Linked DNA regions of Ovis aries. Each later gene encodes a partner of the first gene's protein in a complex. Links are inferred from orthologs where the notes say so. Each region holds a gene or a part of one and is shown in the gene's direction. Other genes may lie near its edges.

Region 1 (3,517 bases):
GCTGAGAATGAAAGGAAAATCAGTATCTCTTGGCCCCTAGACCCATGTTTTTTACTACCATCACTTCTGGTGTATATGATACTGTGCATTTCTTCTAGAACATTTATCAGAAATGTCCAGGGAAATTTTTATAACTAGACTCTGGAGTTTAGAGATATGTAAGAAATAGGCTAACATAGGGATCTAAAATCACAGTGAGTGTTAGTGATCTAAAGTGTTGGTCGCATTTTTTTTTTTAATTTCTAGATCTGCATTAGGAAGTTAACAGTTGTTTAAAAAATGAAATTCACAAAACCCTCAGAGACTGAGGACTGAAATGTTGACTTAAATAGGGTAAAATATTTGGAACCTTTATTGAAATCGATTTATAACTTAATATTGCTAATTTTAAGTCACAAACACCAGCAAAGTTCTGCAAAAGAATATTTTCATTCATATAAATGGAGTTCTGAACACAGATCTATTCTAGTGAATGCTAAATTATTGTTTTTTAGGTGTGTAATGATGTAACCTTCCAGTAATGGGGTTTTTTGTTGTTGTTGTTGTTGTTGTTTTTTCAAGTTTATTAAGCATCTCCTACCAGGAAATTCAAGATTTAGGCAACTCACTCAAGCTTAGGAAATTAAAGTAGATGATGCAAAAACATATTAGCAATACTTAAATTGTCTTTTTGGCATTAAGCAGTTTCTTTTTATGAAATTTTTTAAGCATAAAGATAAATATTATGTTAATTGTAATCTGTTTCAAGACAGCCTTATTTAAAAAAAATTTTTTTTAAGTTCTGATTTAACTTATTTCTGTTATATGGAAATGGTCATTTTGACAGAAACTTGCTTTTATGAAACTATTTATGGATTATCCTTTTAGCAATAAAAAAATGTATTTATCAATAAAAAAGAATTTTTCCTGCAGAGTTCAGAGCTGAGGATTACCAACATAGTAGGAAAAAAACAGGGCTTCCCTGGTGGCTCAGTTGTGAAGAATCCACCTGCCAATCAGGCGATAATGGGTTCAGTCTCTGGGCCAGGAAGATCCCCTGAAGAAGGAAATGGCAACCCATTCCAGTATTCTTGCCTGGGAAATCCTGTGGACACAGGAGCCTGGGGACACAGTCCATGGGGTCGCAAAAGAATCGAGCATGACTGACTAAATAACAAGAAGAATCTCATCACAGGACATATATCAACTAAACAGATGTGTAACACCAAAAATAGGAAAATAAATGGTAGAGTTTTTCCAACAAATGATTTTTTGCCTTTGTAACCCAGGAAATTAGTTCAGCTCAAGTATGAAAGTCTGTGTAAGTACTGCAACTTCAGAGGTTTTCTGAAATATTATGTCACAGTTTTCTGACTTGTTTAAAATATGGTAGAATTTCTACCTAACTTCTAGCTAAGTATTTTCTAGTTGTCCTAGGCAGAAACTCTGCCCCAGAAGATAAAGATTCTCATGAGTTATAAGGGAAAATTGCAAAACTTGATGATGTAATATTCTAAATAAATTATCAAAACATCTTTAAAGATGACAAATTAGTTGACAGTATTTTGAAGACATTAAACCTTAGATTGAGGGAATATGCATGGTTTATAGATTCCCTAGTGACTGAGGATGCATGCTAACCCTTTTTTTTCTGTTCTGAAATAATTCTTACCCAAACACCACAGGCTTCTTAAAGAAGCCTTAAAGTCAGATGTTGTGATTGTATGTACGTTTTTTTCTTTTTTTTTTTTTAATTGGCAAAAAAAAAAAAGAAAAAGGTTTTCCTTTTTAAAAACTGCACACACTTTTTGGGGGGGTAATAAATGAACATTTTTTTGTTTGTTTTTTTTAGAACTGAGCTCTCCATAGACAAACATAAGTAGCATAACACAGTGTCTTTCCTCAGACATCATTCTGTACAGTAAGCCAACATAAACAACTCCGTTCTTATTGACTGGATTTTTTCCAGGTGGGTTAATTGGGTGGGGAAAATTAATTAACCTTTGGAGCCTCTTTTCTTCCTGTTAAACTTAAAGGATGGGTTCTTTTTTTAAAAAAAAAAAAAAAAGGTAATAAACCAACAACCTTATATTTCATATGGAGGAAATATTTGTAATGACTAAAATTCAGAACTATGTAGAACAGCTAGTATTTCTGCACAGAACTGCTGGAGATCATCTGAATGGATTAGGACAGTAGTATGAATAAATAAAGACACCAGATGGTAATTATTGTATCTCTTCTTAAGCTCAGTGCAAAGCTGAATTTCCAACATGCGGTTGAAAAAAGCTGGTATTACCTTTTACACTGTCTGGCACAAGTGTCACAGCTTACCAAAAAAATAATGGTTTCAAAGCTTGGGAAGTGAGCACTTCTCTTTGGTATGTGCAACTCAAAGTTTCACTTTATTTCTCTTTAAACTCAAGCCACTCTTGTCAAGCGTGGTTATAAAAAATGCTGAAATTCTCATTCAGAAGTGATCTTTAACAGGATGCTCAAATGCTTTCATTTTGCGCAAATTTTTTTAAATGCTTAAATGTGTTTTCGTATATTGTAAGTTGCATGTGATAGCTGTGCGTTTCTATAAAGTGTTCTCTCGTTTTATGTTCAGCATTTACAGCCGAACAATACCAGCAACATCAACAGCAGCTGGCACTCATGCAGAAACAGCAGCTTGCACAAATTCAGCAACAGCAAGCAAGTAGTAATTCCGCCACCACCATGCCACAGGTGAGGGATTTGTCTGTCTTATGATTATCCCTCATGTTTCCCACCAGAGTTCATCTCTAATTACCAACTGTTGTCATAGAGCCTTGCATCTAACCAGCAGAAAAGTGGCTTTCGCCTGAATCTACATCATAGCCACTCTATACAGGGTTTAGAAAGAACATTACAGGTGAGTATAGAAGCTGTCACCCTCTGCTTCCTATTGTAAAAAAGTAAAACCTAAAAGCGCAAATGAGATGGAGACCCTGTCCTCAAGCCTGATCTTGTAGTCTGTGAATGTACCTCTTTAACTTACAGCCCCACCCAGCTCATTATCTGGAGAACTTTTAATTCTTCTTAAAATGTATTAAAAATTATGCTAAAATAACTTCTTTTACTCTTAAAAGAAATCACTTTTGAACCTAAAGCATGATAAATATTGGCCATTTAAGCACATTTATAGAACTTAACGGAAGGCTGAGATTTGTGTCTCTAGACATCTGAGAGGAAAATATCATTTAAAAAATTCAAGGGGCCTCTTAATCTCTAGGCTGAGTTAGGATGCGATTGATGTTTTGTTCCTCTGTTCTAAAGGGGTAGTCACCTTACTGTCCCTTGGCTGCCTTAGGTTGTGTATGTATGTGTGTAAGTTTGGTGAAGGGAGTTTTGCCTACTCACCCATTCATTATATGAATTTATTCATGCAGTGATTCATTGCAAATCACCAAAATGTTTTACTAGCATGTTTCTTGTTTAACACTTTGTGTTGGAGGTTTACCATTTCCACATTTTAAAGGTTTATTTTGGTAATTTCATATTATATATTGTCACA
Region 2 (3,517 bases), on another chromosome or scaffold:
AAAGTCAGTATGACATTGTCACACCTAACTCAAAAGGGAGTCCTATATGCCAAATTCTTTTAGCAGTGTGCTCATCTTTACACACAGCTTGTCAGCATAACCATGGCGTCTTCCTTCTTAATGAAAAATAAAGCCCATTTCATAAGGCTTGGCAGCCAAACAAAGAGGAATGGATATCCTGCCTTAATTTAATGCATACATTCCACTACATCTGTCTGCTGAAATTGGTTTATCCTCACAGAAATTAATACATGGTCTTTGTGTTAATATATGGTAGCTTAATCTGTTACCTATCTTCCTTCCAGCCTCTCCTTTTCTGATCATATCTGCTGGCAATAGGGATGGCCCTACAGTCTAGAATGATATAGGGGGAGATAGCAGAACCTGAAGAGTCCATTCTTTCCATTTAAAAATAGCAGAAAGAGGTAGTCATAGTGGATGTATTATTTTTTGTACAGCTCAGGAAGATAGTTACGTGTATCCTTCCAGAATTAGAAATACTTGAGATAGGCCACTGTATCCAAGTGATTGAAGTATATTCTTTGCTTGCTACTTAAAGAAATAGCCATAAGTTGATTCTGTGTTTGGTTTCTAGACTTATCCTAGTTCAGTATTATTTGACATTTTCTTCCTGTCCTTCAGAAATTCCTTAAGCTGTTGAGAGCATATGGGTTGAGTACTGTTTTAAGCTAACCCCCTTTTGGGTTAGCGACTACCCAAGATGAGCAGCCTTGCATGGAAGACATTTGTCCAGTGTTCAGATGGACTAGTTTGCGTGACTCTTGGATATCTTTGTGTTTAGTCATCTTTTAGCTTTGAAGCTATTTTGTCTTTTCCTGATTTGTTCATGTTATCAAGTCTTTTACATCCTTACCTAATACTTCTTGTGATCAGGGTTCTGAATTGTATTTAATGAGGAGCTGATTATCAAGGGCCACAGAGACTGTTTGGTATTATCAGCATTTAAATTCCTAAATTCATTTTGGTTTAATTAGCCTTTGCTAAATTCCAAATAATGATAAACTGCCTCAAATTTAAGGATTAAAATATAATGGAAATTGTAATTTGGAAACACACTAAATGTTGGCAAATCCCTTCATGATATTCATTTAATTAGTTTTCTACGTCCCCATCTTAACCATTTGTGTGGAGGCTGATTACTATCAGATCTAACATTGAAAGTTTTCTTTGTTTATTGTAATTCCTGCGTGAGAAATTTTGAAATAATAAATCATTTAATAATTTACTATGTACGATTCTCCAAAATCTCTTTAACTTCACCGTTTTAACAACTTTATCTGGTGCTTTTGCCACAAGTCTGTTGTAACAGACTATGTTTCTGTTCTGCGAACTTAACTGAAGTTGAAAATACAGATAACTAAGTTTTGTTTCTCTGTGTTACTGGAAACCACATTGCTGATTGAAATTCTTTCTTTCTACTCTTTAGCCAGATCTTTTAAAATTAGAGGTTAAGGTAAAGTACATTCATTCAGTTCATGATAAAATAATGAATTTTTAAGTCAACTTTTTCCTGTGAAACCTAATATCAAGTTTGTAATTTGGCATTTATAAAAATTGCTCTCAAGTCTTATATTTGAGCACTATTGAATTTTGAACTGGGTATAGATCAGTTCTAGTATATGTGAATTCTCTTCGTCTTGAGCTTGTCCCTGACACTGGCTTTTTCTAAATAGAATTCTGTGATGCAAGGGATAACAATTATATTTTTAGGAAAAAAGAATGAATTAAATGGTATTTTTAGTTTAATGTTACCATGATTGAATAATAGTGCTTAATTTTGAACCATATGTTTTAGGCTTTATTTAATAAGATGATAATTTAATAATTTTTATATGACAGGCACCTATGGGGACCTGCTGGGGTGATATCTCAGAAAATGTGAGAGTAGAAGTTCCCAATACAGACTGCAGCCTACCTACCAAAGTCTTCTGGATCGCTGGAATAGTAAAATTAGCAGGTGAAAAACATGCATAATAATTCACTTTAAAAAATCACGTGTATTTGTAATTTGTAAGAAAACATTTTTGTAAATTTTCAAATATTGCCAAGTAAGTATGATATAGGGCAAAGGTTAGCAAACTTTTTTTTTGTTAAAAACAAAGCAAAGCAGTGAATATATTTAGCTTTGTGACCAAAGCAGTCTCTGTCACAACCATTTAACTCTATCATAGCATAGGATCAGCCAAAGCAACGCATAAATGAACAGGCATGGCATAAATGAATGTGTTCTAGTAACCCTTGATTTATGGGCACTAAAATTTGAGTTTCATGTAATTGTTACATATCAAAAAATATTACTTTACATCTAATTTTTTTTCAACCATTTAAAAATGTAAAAACTATTATGGATGACAGTAGGCCAAATCTGCGGGCCCTATAGTTTCCTCAACCTCTGATACAGGGAAATATTTCAGAAAGTAACAAAAAGTATTAAAAAAAAGTGATACGGTCCATAATATCAGAAGTAAACTAATGATGAAAATTTCATCTATTTTGGGTACTATATTTTCTTCAGTCCCACCTCTTCCATGTATCCCAGCCCACAAAGTAAATGTGTTAGGTATCTACTATGTTAGACCCTGTGGACAGGTGATGTGCAAACTTAAAAGATTTTTTTGGTGAGTGTACATCTGCTAAATATTGAATATGTTTTATGATAAGGTGCTTAGTAAGTGGTATAGTAGGATACTGTGATACTTCAGAGGAGGAGCAGCCACTCAGATAATGAAAGGTATCCTGTGATTACTGGAAGAGGTATCTTACTCATCCTACTCTTTCTAGTCTTATCTCCAGCCATCTTCCCAAAAATGCCTTGCCTATTCCACCCTGTGTACTGCTGATAGACTTAATTTACCTAAAAATGATCTCAATTCCATTTTTCTGTCTTTAGCGCCTTCTTTGTCCTTAAAGGATCAGGATGGTCAGCATTTACAACTATTGTTAAGTTTCACTGTACACCACTGAACAGATTTTTTATTGTTCCCCGACGTAAAAGATCTGTTCTGCTGAGATTAGTTTTCCTTCTCTCTCATATAACATATTCTATGTCACCTTCATTCCTTTTCTCATTCTCACTCTCTCACTTACCTTATTTAACCCAGTACAGTTCCTACCTTTTCCATGAAACATTTCCCCAGCTTATGTAAGTGAAAAAGTGAAAGTGTTAGTTGCTCAGTCCTGTCTGACTCTTTGGAATTCCGTGGACTGTAGTCTGCCAGGCTCCTCTGTCTGTGGAATTCTCCAGGCAAGAATAGTGGAGTGGGTAGCCATTCCCTTCTCCAGGGGATCTTACTGACCCAGGGATCAAATCTTGCATTGCAATCAGATTCTTTACCATCTGAACCACCAGGGAAGCCCCCAGCTATATAGACATTATCTAAATATTCCCTGTACCTTGTTTAAAACAGCAATATATATTTTTTGCTTGATATTTAAATCACTTGCATATAAATGGCTCTAAAGATCAATGTATTTAATACTCAGTAATTATTTCTAT
Region 3 (3,517 bases), on another chromosome or scaffold:
CCATGGGGTCACAAAGAGTTGGACACAACTGAGCACATAGATTGAATGCAACCTTCTTTTCAAATCTTGTAGCTCTTTAGGGCATTCAGTTAGTGTTGGAAGGAGGCTGTGATGAAGCCAAAAGCAGTCAGCTAGGAAGACTTCTACCAGAGACAGACCTGCTTTGCTTAGGTCTAAATCCTTATTCCATAAACATGCTGTGCACATTCTTGCTTCTGTACCTTTGTTCCTGTCATTTGCTCTGCCTGGGATTCCCTCTTCCCTCTTGGCTGTCTAAATACTAGCAGTGTTTTAAACCATGGCTCAAATCCTCTTCATTCTTTAAAGTCTGAAGCAGAGTTTAGTAAACTACAACCTGCTGGCTGAATCTAACCCACTATCTATTTTAATCTGGTCCTTTGCAGAAAAAGTTTGCCAACTATTGGTCTAAAGGAATAAAGTCTAACATTTAGACTTTTCCAGGCCATCAGTCCACAGCAGGTGTGCCTTCCTCTGATCACCCATAACATTTTATTGCCATTTGGTAGTTTATATGTTGCCCTGTATTAAAACTTCCATTTATAATGATGTCTTTTCCTATACTTGACTGTGAGACCCTGAAGGGGGAGACCAAACCGTATCCTTTTGTACCCCAGCACTTAACACAGTGTGCTGTGCTGGGAGCCAGCACGGGAGGGTGCTGCAGGTAAAGGGCAGTCAGTTAACGTTGGAAGGGGTGGTGCTGGAGCCAAAGACCATCAGCCCTTCTTGCCTGAGGAAAATGAAAGGCTAGGCTGGGAAGGAGAGTGGGGCAGCCCTTATCAACAGGCAAAGGGATTCTCTTCCTCCTAGAGGGGCGTTAATAACTGGTAGTGAGAACCTCATCTCCCTGTGTCCTCAGGAATCAGGAGATGATGAGTATCAAGGGGACCAGTCCGACACAGAGGATGAGGTGGACTCTGACTTTGATATCGACGAAGGGGATGAACCATCCAGTGATGGAGAAGCGGAAGAGCCAAGAAGGAAGCGCCGAGTAGTCACCAAAGCATATAAGGTGCAGGGGAGGCCTGGTTTTCTTGGACTTCCTTAATTTGTATTCTCCCTTTCATCAGGTCTCATTATGCCCCACACCAATCCCACTTCCTGCTCTGCTGGTTTTCTCTTCCTAACATCTTCATTGTCTCCCAATATCTTCTCTTCCCTGGTATCTGATTTCACTCTGTCCCCAGGAGCCTCTCAAGAGCCTGAGGCCTCGAAAGGTCAGCACCCCAGCTGGTAGCTCTCAGAAGACTCGAGAAGAGAAGGCACTGCTTCCATTAGAACTACAGGATGATGGCACTGACAGTGAGTGGGGATGTTTGAGTCAATAGACAAAGTTGAAGTGTTGTGATAAAGTACTGTATTCATGTTAAGTTTACTGAAGTTGATAACTTTACTATGAGCATGTAGGAATAATTCTAATTAGGAAATATACACCGAGTATTTAGGGAAGAGAGCCATGATGTTGATGTGCATAACTTAACTCTCAGATTATTCAGAAAATACGCACACACAGATTGCAAATAGGGCAAAATGTTAACAGAGGATTTGGCAAAGGATTCATGGATGTTCTTTGTACTATTCTTAACTTTTTTGTAAGTTTGAAATGATTTCCAAATAAAAAGCTTTAAAATTAAATTCAGAGAAGGTAGACATGAGTTCAAAGATTTCTTCCCCTATGATTTCCTTCCCAGGTCGGAAGTCCATGCGTCAGTCTACAGCTGAGCACACACGACAAACATTCCTTCGGGTACAGGAGAGGCAGGGCCAGTCACGGCGACGGAAGGGGCCCCACTGTGAGCGGCCACTGACCCAGGAGGAGCTGCTCAGGGAGGCCAAGATCACAGAGGAGCTCAACTTACGTTCACTGGGTCAGTCTTTGGTTTTGAGAACAGTGGGTAGAGGGGCTGAGAAGCACAAGGAAAAGTTAGATCTAGAGGCCCCAAAGAATTGGACAGATGGAGATTTGGGACAAGAGAAATCAGAAGAAAGATACGGGGAGAGAAAGTGATTAGGAGCAAGGAAGTAGGCAGTAATGAGGGCCCTGAAGAACAAGTTACATTAAAGTGCTTTGGTATTAAAATAGGAATTGTATGGAAAGGAGTTCAGATTCTAGCTCCACTGCTCACTTGCTATAAGACTGCAGGCAAATTACTTACAACCTGCTTGTGTCTTTCTTTCCTTGTTCACAAAATGCAATGAGATGATAATGCTGCTTTAATGATCATGAGAATTAGAAATTCAGTAGAATCAGTCCGTTCATGAGATACATTGCTTTAAGGTTAAAGTTCTATAAGATCTCTTCAGTTTATGGGCTACTGGGCACACAGTCCTGTATGGGAACATTCAGTACAAAAGCATACATTTCTTTAAGGGGCGGTGAGAGTTCTCAGATCATGAGAGATGAATGAGGGAGCAGCAGATTTCACTCCCCGCATCATGTGCTCACTCTGGAGCATATGTGCATTGAGTGAAATAACGGGGGAAATCTACAATATTTGGTTTGCTGTTTCTCTCTCTCTGAATCTTTTTTTCCTCAAGCACATATAATTGAATATGCATAACCCAAATACAGTTTTACTGTGGTGTGGAAGATTGTTTACCCAGAATATCTGGGAGCCAACTCAGTTTAGTTCAATGGTATCCTTGGTATCCTAAGGACTTCCTTGGTGGCTCAGACGGTTAAGCGTCTGCCTACAATGCGGGAGACCTGGGTTCAATCCCTGGGTCAGGAAGATCTCTTGGAGAAGGAAATGGCAACCCACTCCAGTATTCTTGCCTAGAAAATCCCCTGGACGGAGGAGCCTGGTAGGCTCCATGGGGGAAAAGAGTTGGACACGACTGAGTGACTTCACTTTCACTAACTCATTTTAGTTTAATGGTATCAGTAGTTTTGAAATGTAGCTACCTTCACTCCAGAAAGTTCCCTGGTGGTCTAGTGGTTAGGACTTGGTGGTCTCACTACCTCGCCTGGGTTCTATTCCCGGTCATTGAAGCACATCTTTGGGGCTTCCTTGATAGCTCAGTTGGTAACGAATCTGCCTGCAGTGCAGGAAACCTGGGTTCAATTCCTGTGTTGGGAATATCCACTGGAGAAGGGATAGGCTATGCACTCCAGTATTCTTGGGTATCCCTGGTAGCTCAGCTGGTAAAGAATCCACCTGCAATGTGGGAGACCTGGATTCGATCCCTGGGTTGGGAAGATCCCCTGGAGAAGGGAAAGGCTACCCACTCCGGAGAATTCCATGGACTGTATAGTCCATGGGGTCACAAAGAGTTGGACATGACTGAGTGACTTTCACTTTCACTCCAAAAGACCACAAAAGATTTAATTTTCAACATTTTCAGGGTGTATTGTCACGACTTTTAAAAAATATTTATATTTGGCTGTGCTGGGTCTTCGTTCTGCCCTCAGGCTCTCTCTCATTGCCGAGAGCAGAGGTTCTTCTTCATTGTCGTAGGGTGGCTTCTTGCGTGGAACACAGGCTTTGGGGCATGA
Region 4 (4,226 bases), on another chromosome or scaffold:
GAGTAAGCGTTCAGTTTCATTAATGCAACGCAATTAATAGCTTTCTTATGGACACACAACTGTACATTTTTTACTTATCATGCTCTTAATTTTGAGTTGACCTGTCAAACTCTAGAATTGCTGGGTTTTTTTACCTCATGCTTCTCTGTATGGACAGCTAGTAGGCTGATTATATCACTTTCAGTCCCCAAGCCACTCTTCAACTCCTTTACCTGCTTGTCTTCCAGGGAGGTGGAGATGACAGAGCAGTCTGACAGCAGGTCCTTGCGTATAACAGATCCCAAATCTGCAGCTGTGGACTCAAACATGGGGGAGACTACGACCTCCTCATCGGACAGCAAGCCAGCTGGTGGAGAAAGGATCCCTTGCGACATGGCAGCAGGGGCAGTTTAGGTCTAAAAAGAGACAAGAGTGGGTAGGGAGGAGAACCTTAAGGGATAAAAGGGGCTGAAGAATTCGCCCTCTTTTCTAGGTAAGAAACAATTCCCTTGCCCCAGGGCAACCTAGTCTCGCTGCCTGAATTCCTACTCCCTTCTCCTTTCGACTACCAGCAAACGGGAAAGAGAGAAAGAGTTAATCATTTAATCCAATCTGAGGCAGCATTTCGGACCGCGAACAGGAATGAACAGATATCTAACTCCGAAAACATAAGGCCAAGTTCCAAGTAGGGAGCCTCCCTCAGCCGTGTCAGAAGCCCTAGGCTCATTCTCTATACCTCGCTTCTAGGCCCACGGTGAGGACAGAATTATTAAGAAAAACAGAAATGGCGGCAGTTCCGCTTTCTGAATGCCTAATCCGCCAGAGCAAAGGTGCCCCAACTTGACTCAAGTTCAGCCGCACACTTACCTAAAGACGCCACACTTCTACGGGACCGGCTCACTCACACCCCACAGCCGAAACTGGGCTTTCGGCAGCTTGAGAGGACAACCCCACCCACGAAGCGCACCTTTGTTTCTGATACAATGTTTTAAATTGCGCGCTGAGTTCGTTCGGCCAATCAGATAGCGAACCTTGCACCTACCAATCAGTGCAAGGGGGCGGGCGAAACCCGGAAACGGTTTTCTTAGGCTTGACCTCTCTGCTCAAATGTGGGACGGGTTACCAACTGTTGGATTTTGGAGCTGGGTCAACTGGAACTTCTGTTTATCAGTTTTTCTTGAACCCTAGGCATTTCTTTTCTAAGAAGCCTGAAGGAAATCCTAAGGCTTCAGCCACCATTCTCTGTTCTTTCGCACATTCCTTCTCAGGAACTCACAAGAATACCTGATTTGGGGCGCTGGTTCATCCTAGGGTGGGGAGAGGGGACTACATTTCCCAGGACGCACCGCGAATAAACGCTGGAACGCTATCTCCCAGAATTCCTTGGGCTTCAATTCGGCCAGAAATCTTCCTTCGGGGGTTGGAGACGTCGGGGCCAAGATGGCGACGGGAACGGGCAGTAAGTATCTGCCTTGCTCTTGCGTGGAAGGTGTTTGTAGAACCAAGGCCAGGCAACAGATCTGTCACACTCTTAGGGAGTAGAAGCAGTGATTCACCTGAGAGCCCAGAGCCATCAGAGACTTGGGCTCGAGCGGCGCTGTTAAGGCCAGCGGTTGGGGGTTGAGGGCCCAGAAGCGTGAAGTCTTACACTTAAGTAAGGCCGCGGAGTTTTTTTGCTTTTAGAATTTTTATTTATTGGCTGCGCTGGGTCTTCGTCGCTTTCCGTGGACTGTTCTCTAGTTGCCGCGAGGAGTGCTCCTCTCTAGTTGTGGTGTGCAAGGCCACGGAGCTTTGAGAAAAGCAGCCTAAGAAAATTCTTGTATGTTTGTCAGCTCTGCGGGGTGAGAGGGAAAAAAGGTGCCTTAGAGGCTCCGGCGTGCGGACAGAGATGCTGTGAGCCATATGGAGTGGCCGGGGTCCCAAAGAGTCATTTTCTGACGAACATTTGTGAGGCCTGTACTCACAGAGAGATGGGACATGTTAATCGTGAGCTTTTTCTGCCACTAGGGAAAAAATACATTTCCTGTATCTCAGCCATTTCCCTCTGTTTCAGGGACTGAGAAGGTCTTGTAGGCCTAACAGCTTGAGGGGAATGGGTGTAACTGAGAGAAGTAAACAAGTTTATGCTAAGAAGGAGGCGGGGCAGTAGCGGGGGTTGGCCGCTCGGAATCCTGGGAAATAAGGCCTGGGGTCCACTTTGGAATAAAGCATTCTTTTTTTTTTGGCCAGGGCAGAGCTGGGAGGTTGGTGGTTGGCAGGATCATGGGACCCACGTCCCCTCTAGGGAAAAGGCACAGACTTAACCACTGGACCACCAGGGAAGTTCCTGGAATAAAGCATTCTTAAAACTGGGTTTTTTGGAAGAACTGCCCTAAATTAACTTGACTTTTTTTTTTTTAAATATGGTAGAGTAACCATGGCATTTACAGAAAAATGTTTTGCCAGATAATCAAGTGCAGTTCTCAAGCAATGAATAGGCACCATCCTAGTGGTGGTGTTTACTAGAGAGGTGAAAATCAAGATTTGGTGATAGTGGCTCACTTTGTCCTTACAGGTTAGGACATTTTTGTATTAGACTTTTAATCCTCCCTTTGGGACTTAGTGCCTCAGTGGTTGTCTCTAAATCTTTCAGAACATAAGCTGCTGAGTACTGGCCCTACAGAGCCATGGTCCATCCGAGAGAAGCTGTGTTTAGCGTCTTCTGTCATGAGGAGTGGAGATCAAAATTGGTAAGGTATTTAGGATATCTGCTTCCTTGGGTATTAGAAACCGTTTTTTTTTTTTCCCCTTCATGTAAGTACCGGTGGATTCCAGTAGTTAACGTTTAAGCAGTAGTTAACAGCCTTCTTGAGATGCAATTACATATCACAAAATTATATTCACAGAATTCCCAGTATATTCACAGGATTTAACTTAATTTATTAAAATTATTAAAACTTATTAATATTTAATTTATTAAATTCACATAATTTACATAGGACCAATGCTAGAGTCTAATTTTACATTTTAAATACACTTGAAAGAAACCTCTTACCCTTAAGGAATCACTCTGCAAATCTCTTCGCCTCTCTAATATTTCCGCCTCCCTCACCAAACACTCATCTACTTTCTGTCTCTCTATAGCTTATTCTGATCATTTCATATAGATGGAATCATATACTTTGTGGTACTCTGGGGCTTAGCATAATGCTTTCAGGGTTCATGCTGGAGTATGCATCAGTACTTTATTCTTTGTTTTGATGAAATTGTAGTTCCTTGTATGGGTTTACCACATTTTGTTCATTTGTTGATGAACATTTGAGTGGTTTTTACTTTGCTGAATATTAATGCCGCTGTGAACATTTGTGTACAAGCTTTTGTGCAGGCATGTTTTCATTTCTCTTGAAAGAGTGGAATTGCTGGATCATAGTTGAGTTCAGTCACTCAGTCGTGTCCAACTCTGCTACCCCATGGACTGCAGCACGCCAGGCTTCCCTGTCCATTACCAATTCCTGGAGTTTACTCAGACTCATGTCCATTGAGTTGGTGATACCATCCAACCATCTCATCCTCTGTTGTCCCCTTCTCCCGCCTTCAATCTTTCCCAGCATCAGGTCTTTTCAAATGAGTCAGCTCTTCAAATCAGGTGGCCAAAATATTGGAGTTTCAGTTTCAACATCAGTCCTTCCAGTGAATATTCAGGACTGATTTCCTTTAGGGTGGACTGGTTTGATTTCCTTTCAGTCCAAGGGACTCTCAATGGATCATATTATAACTCATATTTATCTTTTTGAGGAACTGCTTTCAAACTAAAAAGTGGCCTCACCGTTTTACATTCCCACCAGCAATAAATGAGGGACCCAGTTTTTCTGCATGCTTGGCAAACATTTAGTCTTTTTGATTATAGCTATACTGCTGAGTGTGAAATGGTATTGTATTGTGGTTTTAATTTGTGTTTCTTTTAAGTACCAGAAAGTAGGACTGTGTGTGTTTTCCAATCTTTTTTTCTACCAGGACATAGTCTCATTTTTAACATTTGGTCTCCCCGCCCCCGACTTTTTTTTTTCTCTCCGTATCTAAAGTTACCTTTTAGTTGTCTTAAGTGTTAAAATTACTTAATAAACAAATTTGCATTTGTAGGGTTTATCTCTACTACTTTAACCATTCAAATGAGTTTATGAAAGCACCATTACTGATCACATGTAACACTTCTACAATTCTATGTATTTTTCAAATAACTTTTCAAAGAGAAAACCAGAATACTCTAG
Region 5 (3,517 bases), on another chromosome or scaffold:
CGTGACGTATTTAAGTTACAGACCAAGTAAAAGAGTGTATGTAGTCAGATATTTTCACATCACATCTTTCTTCACATCAAAGCATGTATATTCAGTATATGAGTTTGGTCATCTAAATATGAAATGTTTTTATTATGTCCTAGATGCAATGGATCAGCTAGAACAAAGAGTCAGTGAATTCTTCATGAATGCAAAGAAAAATAAGCCAGAGTGGCGAGAAGAACAAATGGCTTCCATCAAAAAGGTGTGTTCAACGCTCTGGATGATTTATCTGTAAATACTGGAACTCTCCGAGGAAGATAGGGGATTCCCAGGAGTCGTGACGGTAAAGAATCCACCTGCCAGTGCAGGAGACCTAAGAGACTCGGATTTCATCCCTGGGTCAGAAAGATCCCCTGCAATAGGAAATGGCAACCTGCTCCAGTGTTCTAGCCTGAAAAATTTCATGGACAGAGGAGCCTGGCAAGCTACAGTCCCTGGGGTCACAAAAGACTGAACACGACTTTCAGCAGTTGAAAATTGGACGTAACTGAGCACAGCACAGCTGAGGAAGACATTTTAATATTAAATGGGGGGGGATATCAAAATGAGAGAAAGTTATCAGTAGCTCTTTAGAATTTTAAAATGACTTACAAAATTAAAAATGATTCATTACATTTTAGAGCTTCAGGTGTAGGAACTTTCAAACATTGAAGCATTTTGGTAATTTAGAACAGTATTTCAATAATCAGTGACTAATCAGAGAGTTACAAAGCCATTTAAAAAGTACATTTTTTTCTTTTAATTTGTTTTATTCTAATTATGGGGAATTAAAGTTCCCTTGTCTTAAGATCTATTGGGTTGGCCAAAAAGCTCATTCAGCTCATAAAATGTGATGGAAAAACTCAAATGACCTTTTTGACCAACTCAGTATAGTATCTTCCAATTTGGGCAACAGACTGGGATGAAAATTAGCAACCTTGAAGCATATTTCATATATTGCTAAGTACCTATGTTGGTGGAATCATAGGAGAACAGAATGCTGACAAGTTTTGTAGTACTTAGAGCTCCCTTCCAGATTAGAATGGGTAGCAGCTCTCTCCTCAAGGTTTGCTTTAGAGATATGGTCTAGTTAATTTGCGGACATATTGGAAGAATGATTTACAAGCCCTGGGTTTGATCATGACTCTGCAGTTTGACTTTGTGATGTGGGACATGTCCTTTAATATCTCTGAGTAATAATGGCTCCCTTACCCTTACCCTTCATAGAATTATTCAACTGAGAAAGAAATTTGGAAACTACTTGTGTTATCTGTTTTACTACATGAAGGGAATATTATTTCTGTTAGGAACAAAAACATGAGAATCTTTTGTAGAATTAACCCTGACTTGCAGGATACCTGGAGGCCCGAGTGTGTGTGAGTATAGACATCACACATATACATCCTAAAGTCATTCATCATCCCCTTTTCCTACTAAGTTTCTGGTGCAGCACAGCCTGGATATACCCTAAAAACTCTTGACAGTTCATGGAAATTCATAGAATTTAAGAAAAAATAGTTTGTTTTATACTGGAGAGAACTGATACCTAGCTTAAAATGAGAGTCGCAGAACAACTGCACAATGGATGTGCAGGTCAGAAGCCTTTCAGTAGTTCTTTATAATAAGTGTTAAAAATGGAGAGTGTAAACACTCTTTACAAACTAGATGAATCCTAAGTAACATCTATTTTTAAAGAAAAAGAATTACTCTTTGGCTGACCTAATTTTGACTAGTATAGCTAGACCTGGATGGTGTTTATTTGTTATCTCTTTTCTAGGAATTCTGAACATCTTCCTTTAATCCTTGGTTGTTGTCTAAGATTTCTAATACTATCCCATCCCCACCCTATACCTAACTGGATTTTTATGGCTCATGTATAATGTATGTTCCTGAGTGCTTAGTCACTCAGTCGTGTCTGACTCTTTGCAACCCCATGGACTGGAGTCCTCCAGGTTCCTCTGTCCATAGGATTCTCCAGGCAAGAATACTGGAGTAGATAACCATTCTCTTTTCCAGGGGATTGTCCCAACACAAGGATTGAACCTAGGTCTCCCTCATTGCAGGTTGATTCTTTACCATCGGAGCCACCAGGGAAGCTCTGTAATGACTGACAGTGATAACAAGCCATGATAATGCAAATGCAGTTATAGGTCCTGGATACACAGATTTTTAAGTTATTAATTTGTTCCTGAAACATGAATGTTTTTATTCAGGATTACTATAAAGCTTTGGAAGATGCAGACGAGAAGGTTCAGTTGGCAAACCAGATATATGACTTGGTAAGTAAAAATTAATAGCCATAAGTATTTGAATTATGGATTATGTTTTAAATGGTGTTGACTTAAATGTAATAGGAAGGACAGACTAAACTGAATTATTGCTCGTTGGATCTCATTTAACTTCAGAGTTCACTGTCCACTTTTTGATTTCTTTGTGGAAGAGAGAGAGTCCACAGTCAGTAAGTTAAGAACCTTACATTTAGCCATATCTACGTCACTGTAAGATTGTAGCTGTTGTTAGGCTTTTTTTTTGTATTAAAATAGGTGCTTAACTTTATTTTACTAATTTTTATCTTCTTAAGGTAGTGTGTTTACTTGCCCAATAAAACATCTTGAGATAGTTTCTGTGGCAGAACTCTCCTAAGGGGATTGTGCTGACAGTTCTTGGTAGTCCTGATTAAAGTGAAAAAGGGACCTACTTGAATCTGTTAATAGATAGTACTCAGCTGTCTATTAAGTGAAATTCATTAGATAGTACTCAACAACTGGCACACGTGGCAAAACTGGGAAATACAAGATTAAATAGACTTAAAAATTTTTTTCTTTTTTTAACAGTAGCAGCAGCACTTCTTAATGATTGAAATCACTAAGAAGATAGATATATGCAATATTTCTCAGGTTGTTATAGTCTGTCTTCTTCTTTTGTTTTAATGTACAGCGTGTCCCAAAGTTTATGTTTTAGGAAATGCTCTTTTTTGGTTCTGCCTCAAAGCAAGTTAAAGCTAGAGACAAATGTTTCCTTTTGATTTGCTTTAGCATATTGATTCATATCTTATTTTTGTAGTCTTGTCTGGGTACAGTTTTTTTATTGAACGGGTACATGTTAATATAGGTGTCATTGGTGAGTAAGACACAGATAAAAGGTACATACCCCATATGCTATGCATTGTGAGTGCTATACTAAACTAGAAAATATATGTTGTATAAAACCACAGAAAATGGTTAATTGCTTTTATATAGTGAAAGTATTTTAATGGCTGTAACAACCTAGGCTGTTTTGTTCATCAGTTCAGTTCAGTCGCTCAGTCGTGTCCGACTCTTTGCGACTCCATGAATCGCAGCACGCCAGGCCTCCCTGTCCATCAGTTACTCTAAAAACAGTTTCATAAAAGATGCTGCCTAAAGACGGGTAGAGTGGGCTGGTGGCTTGATTTATGGTGGAATGAAACCCAAATAAAGTTCTTAATTGTTTTGGTCTTGAATTAAGTCTATAAACA

What was found.
Region 2: EPC1 (region 1) and MBTD1 share a complex: the UniProt entries of both Homo sapiens proteins name them as parts of the nuA4 histone acetyltransferase complex. The link is inferred for Ovis aries from reciprocal best matches to the Homo sapiens genes EPC1 and MBTD1.
Region 3: EPC1 (region 1) and VPS72 share a complex: the UniProt entries of both Homo sapiens proteins name them as parts of the nuA4-related complex. The link is inferred for Ovis aries from reciprocal best matches to the Homo sapiens genes EPC1 and VPS72.
Region 4: EPC1 (region 1) and BRD8 share a complex: the UniProt entries of both Homo sapiens proteins name them as parts of the nuA4-related complex. The link is inferred for Ovis aries from reciprocal best matches to the Homo sapiens genes EPC1 and BRD8.
Region 5: EPC1 (region 1) and ING3 share a complex: the UniProt entries of both Homo sapiens proteins name them as parts of the nuA4 histone acetyltransferase complex. The link is inferred for Ovis aries from reciprocal best matches to the Homo sapiens genes EPC1 and ING3.

The regions. Positions count from the first base shown.
Region 1 is NC_056066.1:32,590,643-32,594,159, forward strand, and holds part of EPC1 (enhancer of polycomb homolog 1), read left to right. Parts: intron 1-1,831; coding exon of another isoform or gene 1,832-1,848; exon of another isoform or gene 1,849-1,948; intron 1,949-2,590; coding exon 2,591-2,709; intron 2,710-2,788; coding exon 2,789-2,875; intron 2,876-3,517. UniProt on the Homo sapiens protein: Component of the NuA4 histone acetyltransferase (HAT) complex, a multiprotein complex involved in transcriptional activation of select genes principally by acetylation of nucleosomal histones H4 and H2A.
Region 2 is NC_056064.1:35,292,882-35,296,398, forward strand, and holds part of MBTD1 (MBT domain-containing protein 1), read left to right. Parts: intron 1-1,860; coding exon 1,861-1,978; intron 1,979-3,517. UniProt on the Homo sapiens protein: Chromatin reader component of the NuA4 histone acetyltransferase complex, a multiprotein complex involved in transcriptional activation of select genes principally by acetylation of nucleosomal histones H4 and H2A.
Region 3 is NC_056054.1:101,078,603-101,082,119, reverse strand, and holds part of VPS72 (vacuolar protein sorting-associated protein 72 homolog), read left to right. Parts: intron 1-880; coding exon 881-1,033; intron 1,034-1,208; coding exon 1,209-1,323; intron 1,324-1,712; coding exon 1,713-1,889; intron 1,890-3,517. UniProt on the Homo sapiens protein: Deposition-and-exchange histone chaperone specific for H2AZ1, specifically chaperones H2AZ1 and deposits it into nucleosomes.
Region 4 is NC_056058.1:47,270,492-47,274,717, reverse strand, and holds the start of BRD8 (bromodomain-containing protein 8), read left to right. Parts: upstream 1-1,410; 5' UTR 1,411-1,419; coding exon 1,420-1,438; intron 1,439-2,611; coding exon 2,612-2,708; intron 2,709-4,226. Other genes in the region: kinesin-like protein KIF20A, read right to left, coding at 213-374. UniProt on the Homo sapiens protein: May act as a coactivator during transcriptional activation by hormone-activated nuclear receptors (NR). Isoform 2 stimulates transcriptional activation by AR/DHTR, ESR1/NR3A1, RXRA/NR2B1 and THRB/ERBA2.
Region 5 is NC_056057.1:87,076,240-87,079,756, forward strand, and holds part of ING3 (inhibitor of growth protein 3), read left to right. Parts: intron 1-143; coding exon 144-244; intron 245-2,234; coding exon 2,235-2,300; intron 2,301-3,517. UniProt on the Homo sapiens protein: Component of the NuA4 histone acetyltransferase (HAT) complex which is involved in transcriptional activation of select genes principally by acetylation of nucleosomal histones H4 and H2A.